Xenopus tropicalis: one gene and its partners. The protein of the gene in region 2 interacts with the protein of the main gene of each other region in a pairwise test. Links are inferred from orthologs where the notes say so. Each region holds a gene or a part of one and is shown on either strand. Other genes may lie near its edges. The genes, in order: ccdc155l, bcl2l2 and bmf.

Evidence for each region.
Region 1: the proteins of bcl2l2 (region 2) and ccdc155l interact in binary tests that used the Homo sapiens proteins (3 or more experiments, as listed by UniProt). The two-hybrid records come from large-scale screens. The link is inferred for Xenopus tropicalis from reciprocal best matches to the Homo sapiens genes BCL2L2 and KASH5.
Region 3: the proteins of bcl2l2 (region 2) and bmf interact in binary tests that used the Homo sapiens proteins (3 or more experiments, as listed by UniProt). The two-hybrid records come from large-scale screens. The link is inferred for Xenopus tropicalis from reciprocal best matches to the Homo sapiens genes BCL2L2 and BMF.

What each region holds. Positions count from the first base shown.
Region 1 is NC_030683.2:112,414,422-112,418,071, reverse strand, and holds part of ccdc155l (lymphoid-restricted membrane protein), read right to left. Parts: intron 1,861-3,650; coding exon 1,801-1,860; intron 390-1,800; coding exon 322-389; intron 1-321. UniProt on the Homo sapiens protein: As a component of the LINC (LInker of Nucleoskeleton and Cytoskeleton) complex, involved in the connection between the nuclear lamina and the cytoskeleton.
Region 2 is NC_030677.2:139,688,243-139,692,529, reverse strand, and holds the start of bcl2l2 (bcl-2-like protein 2), read right to left. Parts: upstream 2,876-4,287; 5' UTR 2,768-2,875; intron 1-2,767. UniProt on the Homo sapiens protein: Promotes cell survival. Blocks dexamethasone-induced apoptosis. Mediates survival of postmitotic Sertoli cells by suppressing death-promoting activity of BAX.
Region 3 is NC_030684.2:114,269,080-114,273,357, reverse strand, and holds the start of bmf (bcl-2-modifying factor), read left to right. Parts: upstream 1-1,379; 5' UTR 1,380-1,732; intron 1,733-1,826; exon of another isoform or gene 1,827-1,926; intron 1,927-4,278. UniProt on the Homo sapiens protein: May play a role in apoptosis. Isoform 1 seems to be the main initiator.

The DNA of each region.
Region 1 (3,650 bases), on a different chromosome or scaffold from region 2:
TATAGTGTGTGTGTGTGTGTGTATTTCTACTAAAGCCCAAAACGACATTACTCCTTACCAGAGCTATAAAGTGCCTATCAGTACATTTAAATTCATATTAAAGCACAGAAGATTACATGGGCATTATATAACAATGTTAAAAATAGTCCAGTAAATACGGGTTGTGTTAACAATGTGTTCAGCCTAATGCTATAATTAAAACAAACCTGTAACAGATCCTGCTTTAATGGACCAGCAATAATACACTGAATGTATACAAAATAGACATTTCTAATATAATTGATATTAATTGGCTACTGGATATGTGTGGGGGCTACTTACAAGGGCATGTTTTCTTTGTTTGGCTGTAACAGCTGTTCATGTAATAGTCTCTTTTCTCTTTGAAGCACCTAGACAGCATAAGATATACAGCAAAAACCATTAATAACATCCCTTGAATGTAATCACCCCCCACACGTACAAAGCTATGCACAAAAGGTAAGTCAGCAGGATATAGGAAAAGAGTTCTTACATCTAAATATTTCAGAATACACAAATAACATTGTATTGGATCACACACAGAAGAATAAACATTACAAACACAGCATAGAACGACACTGAATTTAGCAAATTAGCCTTGCACGCATATGAATCATGAAGCAGGCAATACTTCCAACTCATCCATAGGCAAGGCATGTTATGCACCTTGTGCCTGTTGCACCTTTATTCATTTATTTTGCCTGTGCATTAATATTCTGAGACCTGGATTATATAATCCTGCACACACTGAAAATAAAGGTAAAAGTAACCTCCGTTTCTGGTTAAAAAGCTATTATCTAAAGGCAGTGAGTACCCACAAGCACCAGAAAGTGGCCCAACCTGAGATAAGGAAGATAGGGCACCTCTGTAGGACTGTGCTCTTTTAGGATCGTACAGAGGCCTGGTGCATCATCATTTCCATTATTACTGCTATATATTTGTTATAAACAACTATTTCCAGACCGGTTCTATTTTTTTACCTAATTAAGTGCTAATTAAAGTTTTTATTCTCCATCACACTTGTGCCTCATCGGTTTAATTGAAGAACATGTCTTTGCAATGGGGCAGTGGTCACAGCTGCTTAGTACTGAGAGCATCTCCATTCAGTTAGCTGCCTTCTCTGATTATAGACGCAATAGTTTACCCTTGTCTCATAGGTCAGTAGACTCAACTGTGTATTGTTTAAAGGAGAACTATAGGCTAAAAATTAATATGTGGCTAGACACAATGAATTTTCTATACTAAGCAGCAGAGAGATTCAGCAAGCCTATAACAGTAATGATGCAGACTTTTTAAATTTGCCCACAGCAGCTCCCCATCTTGGGTCAAGTTAGGCCATCTTTTATGTGTCAGTGGCACTGCCCATGCTCAGTGTGCCCTGGGCTGCTATGAAGAAGCTAAACATTGGAGTTGTCAAAAACCATTAAAAAGAAAATGAGGTTCATCTGTTATAAAAGCTGATGCTACAGAGCTGATTATTCCTGGTGCAGAGTGGTTTCTGAGTTGCCATGTAATACAAATCTGAATTAATTACTAATTAGCCTTGTACTTTTACTTTTATATTGTATATATGCAGTATATTGTCAGTCAGTCCCTAATCTCATGTAAATAATGGCAGCCCTGAGCATGTGCTGTGAATCAGGGGAATGAAGATGGGGAGCTACTGGGGGCAGATACATTTACTGGTAAAGCCTTTGGTTTCCTTGGGCTTGTAAAGAAGCCAAAACATAATGTGTAGCATTGCTAGCCTGCTACTTTGTTACCTCTCTAATATTCACCTACCTGAACCTGAAGTCTATGTTCATCTACAATGCTGCGAAGTTGCTGTGACTTAACCTTTTCCTTTAATTAAACATAAAGCAGTCAGTAATTTTTTATTGTCTTATCCAGTATCAAATTAACTATTTTGAACCCTATCCTCTATATCTATATTGTGCCTGATTTCTCCCAGTTTTACCAACTAAATACTATTATACTAAATACTATTGTACTAAACAATGCATATACCCATAGGGAAAGGATTTCTCTTGACTCTCCTTATCTAAACATTGTATTCTATATATTGTTTAGGGATGCAAAGAGTCAATATCATTAATCAAATGGATGCAAAGACCCAAAACCACCAATGAAATGGGAATGGATGAAAAGACCCAAAACCACCAATGAAATGGGAATGGATGAAAAGACCCAATACACCTATGAAATAGGAATGGATGAAAAGACCCAATACACCAATGAAATGGGAATGGATGAAAAGACCCAATACACCTATGAAATAGGAATGGGTGGAGAGACCCAATACGCCAATGAAATGAGAATGGGCGCAAAGAGTCAATACTATTAACAAAATGGACTGAAAGCAAAATGTGAGAGAATGGAAAGACCCAATGCCACCAACAAAATGGGAATGGATGGAAATAGCCAATAGCACCAACAAAATAGGAAAGAATGAAAAGTCCCAATACCCCCAATGAAATAGGGTCGGGCAGCAAGATCCAACACCACCATCAACTTTGGAATGGAAGAAAAGACCCAGTACCACCAAAGACATGGGAATAGGACCTGATACTGACACTACCAATGAAATGGATAAACTCACCTGAGGAAATAAGGAAAATGGAGGGACTGACCTCCATAAAATACATTAAACTAAATATAGGTTGGAAACTTAGGTTACCGTGGCTCTGAAGGAGCTTATAAAACAAAATATTAGATAAGTGATTCAGATAAAAGTGATACTATAGCAATAACTGTGGCAAGGGTTATATACATTACTTTTATCTGAAGATCTACTTGGCATTATTCACAATTGTATTTTTCTAGTCCTTGAATGAACACCTGTCATACTGAATTGAAAGTAACAGTGTAATGTCCTTTTATAATTGAAGTACTTGTAATTCAGTAGAATGATTATGGTTGTTCTTTAGATACCCCCCACACCCACATTTTCTCTTCTTTTCTTCATCTGACAAAGTCGATTGTTGCTGGACAAAGCATGGGCACAGCCAATAGCCAGGGTTTTGACTTTGTACTAGTAATACAGACATGATATTATAGCTTACAAAGCAAACAGGTATATGGTAACTGTGCATGCTAATTACAATTAGCATGCACAGTGATCCAAGCAATCCCTAGGGGACCTCTGCAGTTATTTCTATGATCTCTCCTAGCCTAAGACAGCATTGAAGATCTACTCCACCCAAATTAGTATTGACTGCATCAATATCATTTATACCCATCATCTCTAAATCCTAAATTCCATATCATATACCATATCACTGCATGGATGGATGATTCAGCAAGACATGATCCGATTACTCAGGATGAAAAAAAACCCATGTTCCAGCCCATATCAGCCCCTAAGGTGTATTTACCACTCAGTCATTTAGGGACAAACTTCTGAAATAGCAGATTTCAGGGTAATAGAAGCAATCCAAGCCCTGCGCCAGTATATTTTTTCTGAAGATTTGGTGACATCTGGTGGAAGTATAATAAAATGCACATCTACACAAGAGAACAAAACTACATTGAAAAATAAAAAAACTTACCTTAATCGTTTATCACACATTGTTGGATCAATGCACAGATAAAGCCCTAGGGGATTTCCAAACGTCCCCTATCAATATCTGGCT
Region 2 (4,287 bases):
AGTGATCTAACCTACATATATAAAATAAGAGAGAACACTGCGTGCACTTGCCATTATTACCCACCATGCTGGGTACATATATACAGAAAGTACATAAAATTAGGTATATGGCAAAAAGTTACAGATAGATTCTACATAGTTAAATGCCAGGCTACAATTGGATGCTACTCCACCAGCATTTTCTGCTGGCGGAGTAGCACCCAATTGTAGCCTGGCATTTAACTATGTAGAATCTACCTGTCACTAGAGGTAAAAGGTCTATTTTATTCAGAAACAGAATATTCGAGCAGGTTCTGGACAGAAACCATTCCATTATTACAGAACGAATACCTAAATTACAGAATTAACACCCATGATAAGGTGATTTTCTATTGGCTGAAACCACCAACAGAAAATATGCCCTATGTGCCCTGAAACCTATGTTTCAGCATTGAATAAGATCTCTTGAAGTCAAAGAGTCAAACACAAAGGTGTATTGGAAGAAGCAGCTCACGGGGAGGTGCCATAAAAATCTTAAATAATTCAATAATCAAGTAAACTTGAAGCAACAAAAAAACTTAAGAAACCTCCTGTTTGCCATCACATATTTAAAACATGTACTGCAAGGTTCGTTTTTATCTGGAACTTCACTGTTTCTTCAAAGATTGCAACTGAGAAGCCTCATATCATTTGTGTTAGTATGTTAGTATATTAAGCACAGCATTTTTCCTCTTCAGCTTTTCCAGTGTGGCTCCTGACATAGAGGTGATTCAATAGAAGATACTGCACACAGCACCAGGCCTGTAATAGCAATTAGTGGATTCTGGCAAATACCAGAGGGGTTGCTGTGAGATGCTATAGACAGTAACTATTTAGTGGGCTGGTGGGAGGCCAGCAACCCTTGAAAATGCCAGGGTCTATTCTGAATCCCAATCCAGGCCTGCACAGTACTCTCAGGTGGCCATACACGTAGCAGTAATGATCTTTCATGCAACCACTGGTCAGGTGGAAACAATAGAAAGGTGGAGGTGGGAATAATAGAAATTCTACCTGCACCTGCTGATTCAGCTCTAAATGTAGATTTTGCTTGGGTGCCTTCTACGGCGCCCGATCAAAATCTTTTAACCTGCCCAATCAGCGTGACGATCAATATCCGCAGCCTTTGTGATACTGTTTGTTTCGGCGAGCCGCCATTCACAAGGTTTCATATGGTAATATTGGTGCGTGTATGGCCGGCTTACATCTCATTTAAAAAAAAAAAAAAAAAGAGGGAAAAAAAAAAATCAGCCTTCACTTTAATGTGACACTATCAGTGAAATGTCTAAGGGCTCTGGCACACGGGGAGATTAGTCGCCCACGACAAACCTCCCCGAAATGCCATCCCACCGGCGAAAATGTAAATCGCCGGTGGGATGGCATACGCGGCGGCGCGACTTCAGTGAGATTGCGGAACTTTCCTCTCATTTCACTGAAATCGCGCCGCCGCGTATGCCACCCCACCGGCGATTTACATTTTCGTCGGTGGGATGGCATTTCGGGGAGATTAGTCGCGGGTGACTAATCTCCCCGTGTGCCAGAGCCCTAAAGCCAATATTGCTAGTTATCTGTTTATATCTTGCCCATTTGTTTTCTCTATGACAACAGTACAAAAGAAATTGGCTTTCCTTAGTAACTGGCAGATGGAGATTTTTCATGGAAACCACCCTCTATGAAACCCACAATCACCACAGGGCCAGCTCACAATCATGCATCCAGCATTTTACCAGTGACAATTCTTTCTAACATAAGTAGCTGGCACTGCATACTTTAAACACATAATCACCAGCCCTACCCTGCAAGGAGTGGCAACCAGTGTCACCAGGAGACTGAAAGGAAAAGTATGGTGATTAAAACAAGTCTCTGTTCAAGGAAAGCACCAGCCAGTAAATACAATAGCTTTTTACCCCAGGACAGTTCCATGTTTAGTCATTTCCCAGGGTTCCACTACAGCTGTCTCTGGGATTGTTGGAATGTGAAATACAGTAAAAGTCACCTTTACCAATGTTTCTCTACTGCACATGGGAAAGGTTCCTGGCAGCCCTACAAATTAATAAAGATTAAGGGACAGTGCTGAAAAGAAAAATACCCCAAGCTGGTGCTTTTTTTTTTTTTTTTTTTTAACATGAGCTGCGTACTGAGCAGTGTACACATTTTATTTACTGGGGGGAGTACATAACATATGGGCGTGCAATCCAGGGTTGTATCAAATGAAATAAACACATACAAGGAATTAGTGTACAATATCAGAGCCACACATTTAGGATAATGATACACATACAGACAGAAATGGAGCAGAAGCATGAAGGTCAATTGCCTGGCCCCTTTTAAGCAAACAGCATGTATTCAAGTGTAGAAGCTGTAGAATAACCAGCCCCACAGTCTGCATTAGGTGGGCGTGGCATCAACATAATGTCTATATGAAAGGTGGTACTGCAGGGATCCTAAATACCCACAGGCAGTCTGGGGATGCTGCTAAGAGTTATGGTTTAGAAACAACTGGAGATCAGAACACTGAAGACACCTTGGTTAACCCTTTCTTTACCTGGGCAATGGTTTGTAGGTTATAGGCGTGCCCATGTCCAATCAAATTCCTCATGTCCCAACACCAATTATTTATTGCAAAAGGCTACACCACATATATTTTACAGCCATGACTGCAAATAGAGACAAGCTGGATAAGTGGTCTTTTCTTCCCTGTCAAAAGCAGGGCAAGCAAGCTGCGACTAATTACTACCAAAGCGGCTCTCACCCGTCAGGTACTTATCGGGGCTCCCCCGGAAGATGATATTTCCCGTCGCATGCTGTTCTTCCCAATCTCGGTCCTTTACGCCGTTATTCCCCTTTTTTCGGATTTAATTCGCAACCACTTCCGGTTGTGTCATGGCGACGCCCGATGACGTCAAAGACGCACGCCTTCCTGTTTGCCCATTGACTGAACTGTCTGGGTTCTGCCGTACTGTGCAGAGTAGATGCGTAAAAGGGGTGTGGCTAAGGACGCTTGTTCTGGCGACCACCAAAACGGTGCTCTAATCTTGACCTCCAGACTCTAAAATTAAGAAATTGGTTATAAAGGTCGTTGGTTTGGGGAAAGTGCTATTTTACTTACAGGCGATAGTGCGGGTATTAAATCTTTCCTCAGGTGTGTTACTTAACTGGGCATTCTCATTCTACTCACTGTATCAGTGAAGTTGCAACCAAGACCTATTAGTGGGAATTGTTTCTGAGAATTTGCTGAGCATAACATGCAGACCCTTAGATTATGATATGATTGATAGCAGTATTAAATAACAGACTGCAGTCATTTTAAAAATTGCAGTTTTTCTCTTTTTTTTAATTTTTATCTGCAGAGAAGATTAATAGGACAGGGACTTAAAAAGATTGGGGATTAAAAACAATAAAATGAAATCCGCACCTTTGATCTTTTATATGGTTGTCGGAATCAGATACCCTGACAACCAGATAGGATTTTGGGTTGCAGGGTTTAAAAGGCACAATATGAAAACTATTAATTGAGAAAAAAAATACATAACTTGAAATATTAGAAAAATGTAAAGGGACAAAATGAACTGCTGCATGAAATGCATTGGCGTACATTAGGTGCACCTGTATTTTATGACACACTCTGGCCTTTACACTATCATGATATGTTGTGGCACGTAGCATTTCAGGACAGCCACAGTGTTGCACAACACCCACCCCAAAAAGCCCTGTGCAGACTGGAAGAATATTCCTCATTTCCAGGCCATTCCTTTATGTTAAGCACTTCATATATTGTGAGGAGTGACATTGCAATTTCATCTTGCAAGACTGATGAGACCCTGAGAGGGCGGCTGGCAGCACCGAGACTACTGACAGTAAAGCACAGACTGCAGAATGGGGGTTTTCCCATGAAAAGCAGGGCAGTTGGGGGATATAAAAACATACAAATTAAACTTTAAAGACCAATTGAAAAGCTGCTTCTAATAGGTAAATATATAATATAAACATATATATATATAAATGTTAACATCCTTTTTATTATGTTGAATCATCATTCATGTGAACTTGTGCCCTTTATAATTCACCTAATCTATTCTCCACAAACCTTTAGGGACATTATCAGTTTTATACAGTGGTGTGAAAAACTATTTGCCCCCTTCCTGATTTCTTATTCTTTTGCATGTTTGTCACACTTAAATGTTTCTCCTCATCAAACACATTTAACTATTAGTCAAAGATAACACAAGTAAACACAAAATGCAGTTTTTAAATTAGGGTTTTTATTATTAA
Region 3 (4,278 bases), on a different chromosome or scaffold from region 2:
GTGAAAAAGTAATTACCCCCTTATACATAATAACTGGCCGCTCCACCGTAAGCTGCAATAATTGCAAAATGATTCATTTGATGTCAGTCTGTCACATTGTTGCTGAGTCATTTAGCCCACTCTTCTTTGTAGAACTGCTTTAATTCACACATTGGAGGCCATTTATAATGTTTGTAATTTTTTTCTACAATTCATTTTTTGGAACTAAAATTAAACAAAAGTGATTTTTCACCATGTATTATGCATCAAAACCATGAAAAGCGTGAATGCAAAAATACTCCATCTAAAGGCTGTCGCAGTCATGTAGAAGTCAGTTTGGTGCTGTCCAAGGCAATATTTATGCGGCCCTTTTACTTCGAGGTATTTGAGTTTTACATATTTTTTGGGGGGAGCTACTTGTGCTATTTAAGTTATGTAAAATTCACAATTAGGGGTTTTTGCTTTTATTTTTAAATTCATTTATGCTTTTCTCATTTATGAGTTTAGTGGTGGTAGAAAAAATCTCTAAGGGAGAGGTGTATGAGATATGTGCTTTTCTCAGCCCTGCGGATCCGCTTCATTAAAGACTTCAGTCTTAAAAACTATGGCAACTGCCCAAGTGTGGGCACACAGAGCGGAGTAGATCGAAGGTTGGCCTAAAAAATGCGAAATCGGGCATTTTCCAGGCCAACCTCCACTCCGCTGAGGTCCACAGGGGAGTGTACGGAAGAGGATCCACTTCTCTCAGCCTGGCTGAAAAACATAGGGCTAAAGGTCCCCGATACACAGGCCGATTAGCTGCCGAATCGTTCTAAAGGACATCTGTATGGTGTATTGGGGACCTTAAGAAAAGCGTATATGTTTTATGTGACCTCGCCCTTAAACTACACAAACTCTGATTTTGATAAATCTGCCTCATTAAGTCCATAAAGATGGACTTTTTCTAATAGGTTGGGAATTTTGTCATGGAAAAGGGAGGCCGCTATCAGTGAGAACTGACTAATACAACATACCTAGCCAGGCCAGGAATAGGATCCAAAATAGGTCCTGGCATTTCAAGTACACAGAGGCCCAACATCTCCCCACCAGGCCAATAACTAGTGACTGACTGTGGCATCTTACAGCAGCCCCTCTGGCATTTGCCGCCCAAAACCCACAGAGTGACGGGGGGGGGGCATCACTGGCATGCATAGTACAAATACCCAAATGCTACACAGCTACAAAGGGACTGATAAAGAGCTGAGGGGCCCCCACAAAGCTCCTATGGTGAGTAGATTATAGGCAAGCTGGAATCAGTCAGAGCTCACAGTGTTTATATTAGGAAGGGCGTGTGTACATTACAGCACATCCCCGGGCTCAGTATGGGGATACATGGTTATGGTGCAGGTAATACTGTTTGGCTTATGGCAAGTAGTTGGTAGTGAGTACAGTAAAACAAAGTTGGTAACAGAAGCCATATCACGGCCCAAAGAATGGACGCCAGGTTAACTCTTCCTGGCTTAGTGTGTTGAAGTGATTGTATTCCGAGCAGTGAATTGTATTCCGAGTGTGAATCGACCGAGAAAAGGGCAGCGGGGATACGGGACACAGGGGATGTGAAGCAATCATTGCTCCGCCTGCCAATCACAGCCGGTCCCTCCCCAGCCGCTCTCAAACACACTCACAGAGAGACTTCACGCAATGAGCTTGCCGCTACCCTGCAGGTGAGAGGACACACGGCACCCTGCCTGCCTGCCCGGATCCCCCGCCAAAAGTAAGTGATCAGCGGGGCTGTACACCTGTCTGGGGACTGCAGTGGTCTCTTCCACTGAGGCGTGCAGATGTTATGTATGGGTCTGTAGGAACGCAGCCGGGTCAAACCATTCTGCCAGCCGGGGTGCCCTGTGTGAGCGCTGGGTGCAGTGATGCAGTAAGGGGATGATGCGCTGCTGCTTATAGAGCACTTGGGTGACATTACTTTCCTGCTTACATTTTGGTTTGATTGTTATCTGTAAGGGCAGAAACTTTAGTGTAAAAAAGAATTTGCACTAGTGCTATTGAACAAGTTCATTGCTACGAACGGGCGATATCAGATTGTAGCTTAGTATTTATAGAGTTAAACCCGCCCGTGTTCCTGATGAGCTCAGCTTCCTGGCGTGTGTGAGTTGCAGTTTAACAACTGCAGAAATGGACTTACTATGCAGTTTAAAACTTATCCTAAAGTCACAAGTGACTTTTGATGGTATTTTATGGCTCATAAAGGGAGAGTAGGTACTAGCAGATTGGTGAGCTATCAGTCCTGTGGATGTTGCTGAACTACATCTTACACTTTTTTACCAGCTGGCAAAGGCTACTGCTGGATGCTAAGAGCTGTATCTCAATTAAACATCTGTAGGAGCTTTTCCTGCCTGTTGGAGAGAATACTGTGCAGGGTGTTTAGTATTTATCCTGCTGCCCAGGTTATGACTGCCCCCTGCTTTATAGAGGGGTTCACTTCAGTCCTCAGTCCTCTTCCATACTTGTCTGTTAGAGTGGGAACAAAACATATGAGTAATAAGACAACTGCCTGGAGATCTGAGAGGCTGCTGTTATGTTTGGTGCCAGGAGAGAATGACCCTGTTCCAGAAGGTTGAGTCAGGATAAGCTGGCAGCGGAGGTCAGGCGTTGGGTAGCTGCTGCCAGATGTACACGGCACATCTGTTTTTGTGTGGCGCTGATGGACACTTGAGCTCAGCAGGATCCAGCTGGGATTAAATGACTTGGAGTTTGCAGAGAGAATCCAGAGTGACAATGAAAGGAAAAGCCTTGAGGCTCTTTAGCCATTTTATAGCAGCACCTCTGCAATTAGAGACAACTGCAAGAGCCAAGCAGAGAGAAACAGTCGCACTCATCACTTTGTTTTATATCAGATATGAAAATGCTAAGATCCAGCTGAAAGCCTAGCGGTGTGTTACTTTAATTCCTCTTCCTCCACTTTCACTCCATTTGTTTGCATCCCTGCTTGTGTGCACGTGCTTGTGTATGAGTGTGTGTCGCCATCGGTTCCTTATCTGTTTATTGCAGTGATCCCCAACCAGTGGCTCATGAACAACATGTTGCTCCCCAACCCCTCGGATGTTGCTCTCAGTGCCCCCAAACCAGGTAGTTATTTTTGAATTCCTGACTTGGGGGCAAGTTTTGGTTGAATAAAAACAAGATTTCCTACCAAATAAAGCCCCTGTAAGCTGATAAGGGTGCATAGAGGCTCCCTAATAGCCAATCTTAGCCCTTATTTGGCACCTCCATGAACTTTTATGGTGCTTTTGTTGCTCTCCAAGTCTTTTTACATTTGTCTGTGGCTCACAAGTAAAAAAGGCTGGGGACCCCTGGTTTATAGCATATGAAAAGGCAACCACAATAACCCATTTCTCCTCTACAGCTGATGAAAATTCCCCCCTTTTCCTACTGGGAAGAAAGAGCCTCTTGTATTTATACAGAAACCTATACTTCTAATATCTTTCTTTTTTACCCAAGTCCAATATGTCAAAAATATAGTTATAGTAGATGATAAAAAAAAATCTCAAAAGTACTGGACCTTAATACAAGGTTGAATTTGATTTGTCTTTATTTTAACCTCAGCTACTATGTACTTAAGAACAAGAGGCCCACTAGGTAGAAACTGAATTGCGGGCACGGCCTATAAATCCTATTATCCTAAGTCTGAAACTTTTTATTGCAATAGGAAACAGTAGGCATCATGGAGCCATTCAGCTTCTGTTGCACTACAATTCCCAGAACCTTCCAATCGCCACCCCTAGGGCCACTGCTTGGCCATTGTTTCTTGTAATTGTAGTTCAGCGAAAGTACATGGCTCCTCTTGGCTGAGTGGTGCCCTTTCCGGTTACGCAATCCATTGTGTCTGGGGCTTTCTCGCGTGTGTGCCACAGTGGGATACCTCTGCTGAGACCAATTTGCACTAATGGCGGTGGCACACACATGAACTGCAGGGCTTCTTAGGTCAGATGTGGTGGAAAATATCCAGACGTGCCCAATTGTTTTTTTATTGTGTGCTTGTTCCTGCTTCACTAGGAGCCGCTGTCAGCTGCTTGTAATACCGTCAGCTTCATCGCCTGCACTGCTCTCTTTCCAAACATGACTCAGCGCTCGCACACACTTGGCCTTTGGCAGCCACTGCCTCACGTGTTGCTGTCAGGAACCTTCCCCTCTGATAAACAAACTACCTCTTTTGTGATGTTGTTCCGGGAACAGCACAGTCAAAGTGTAGCCGGGAAATACATTTGTAAAATGTGTCCCCAAACTTCCCCACCCCTTTAAAAAAAG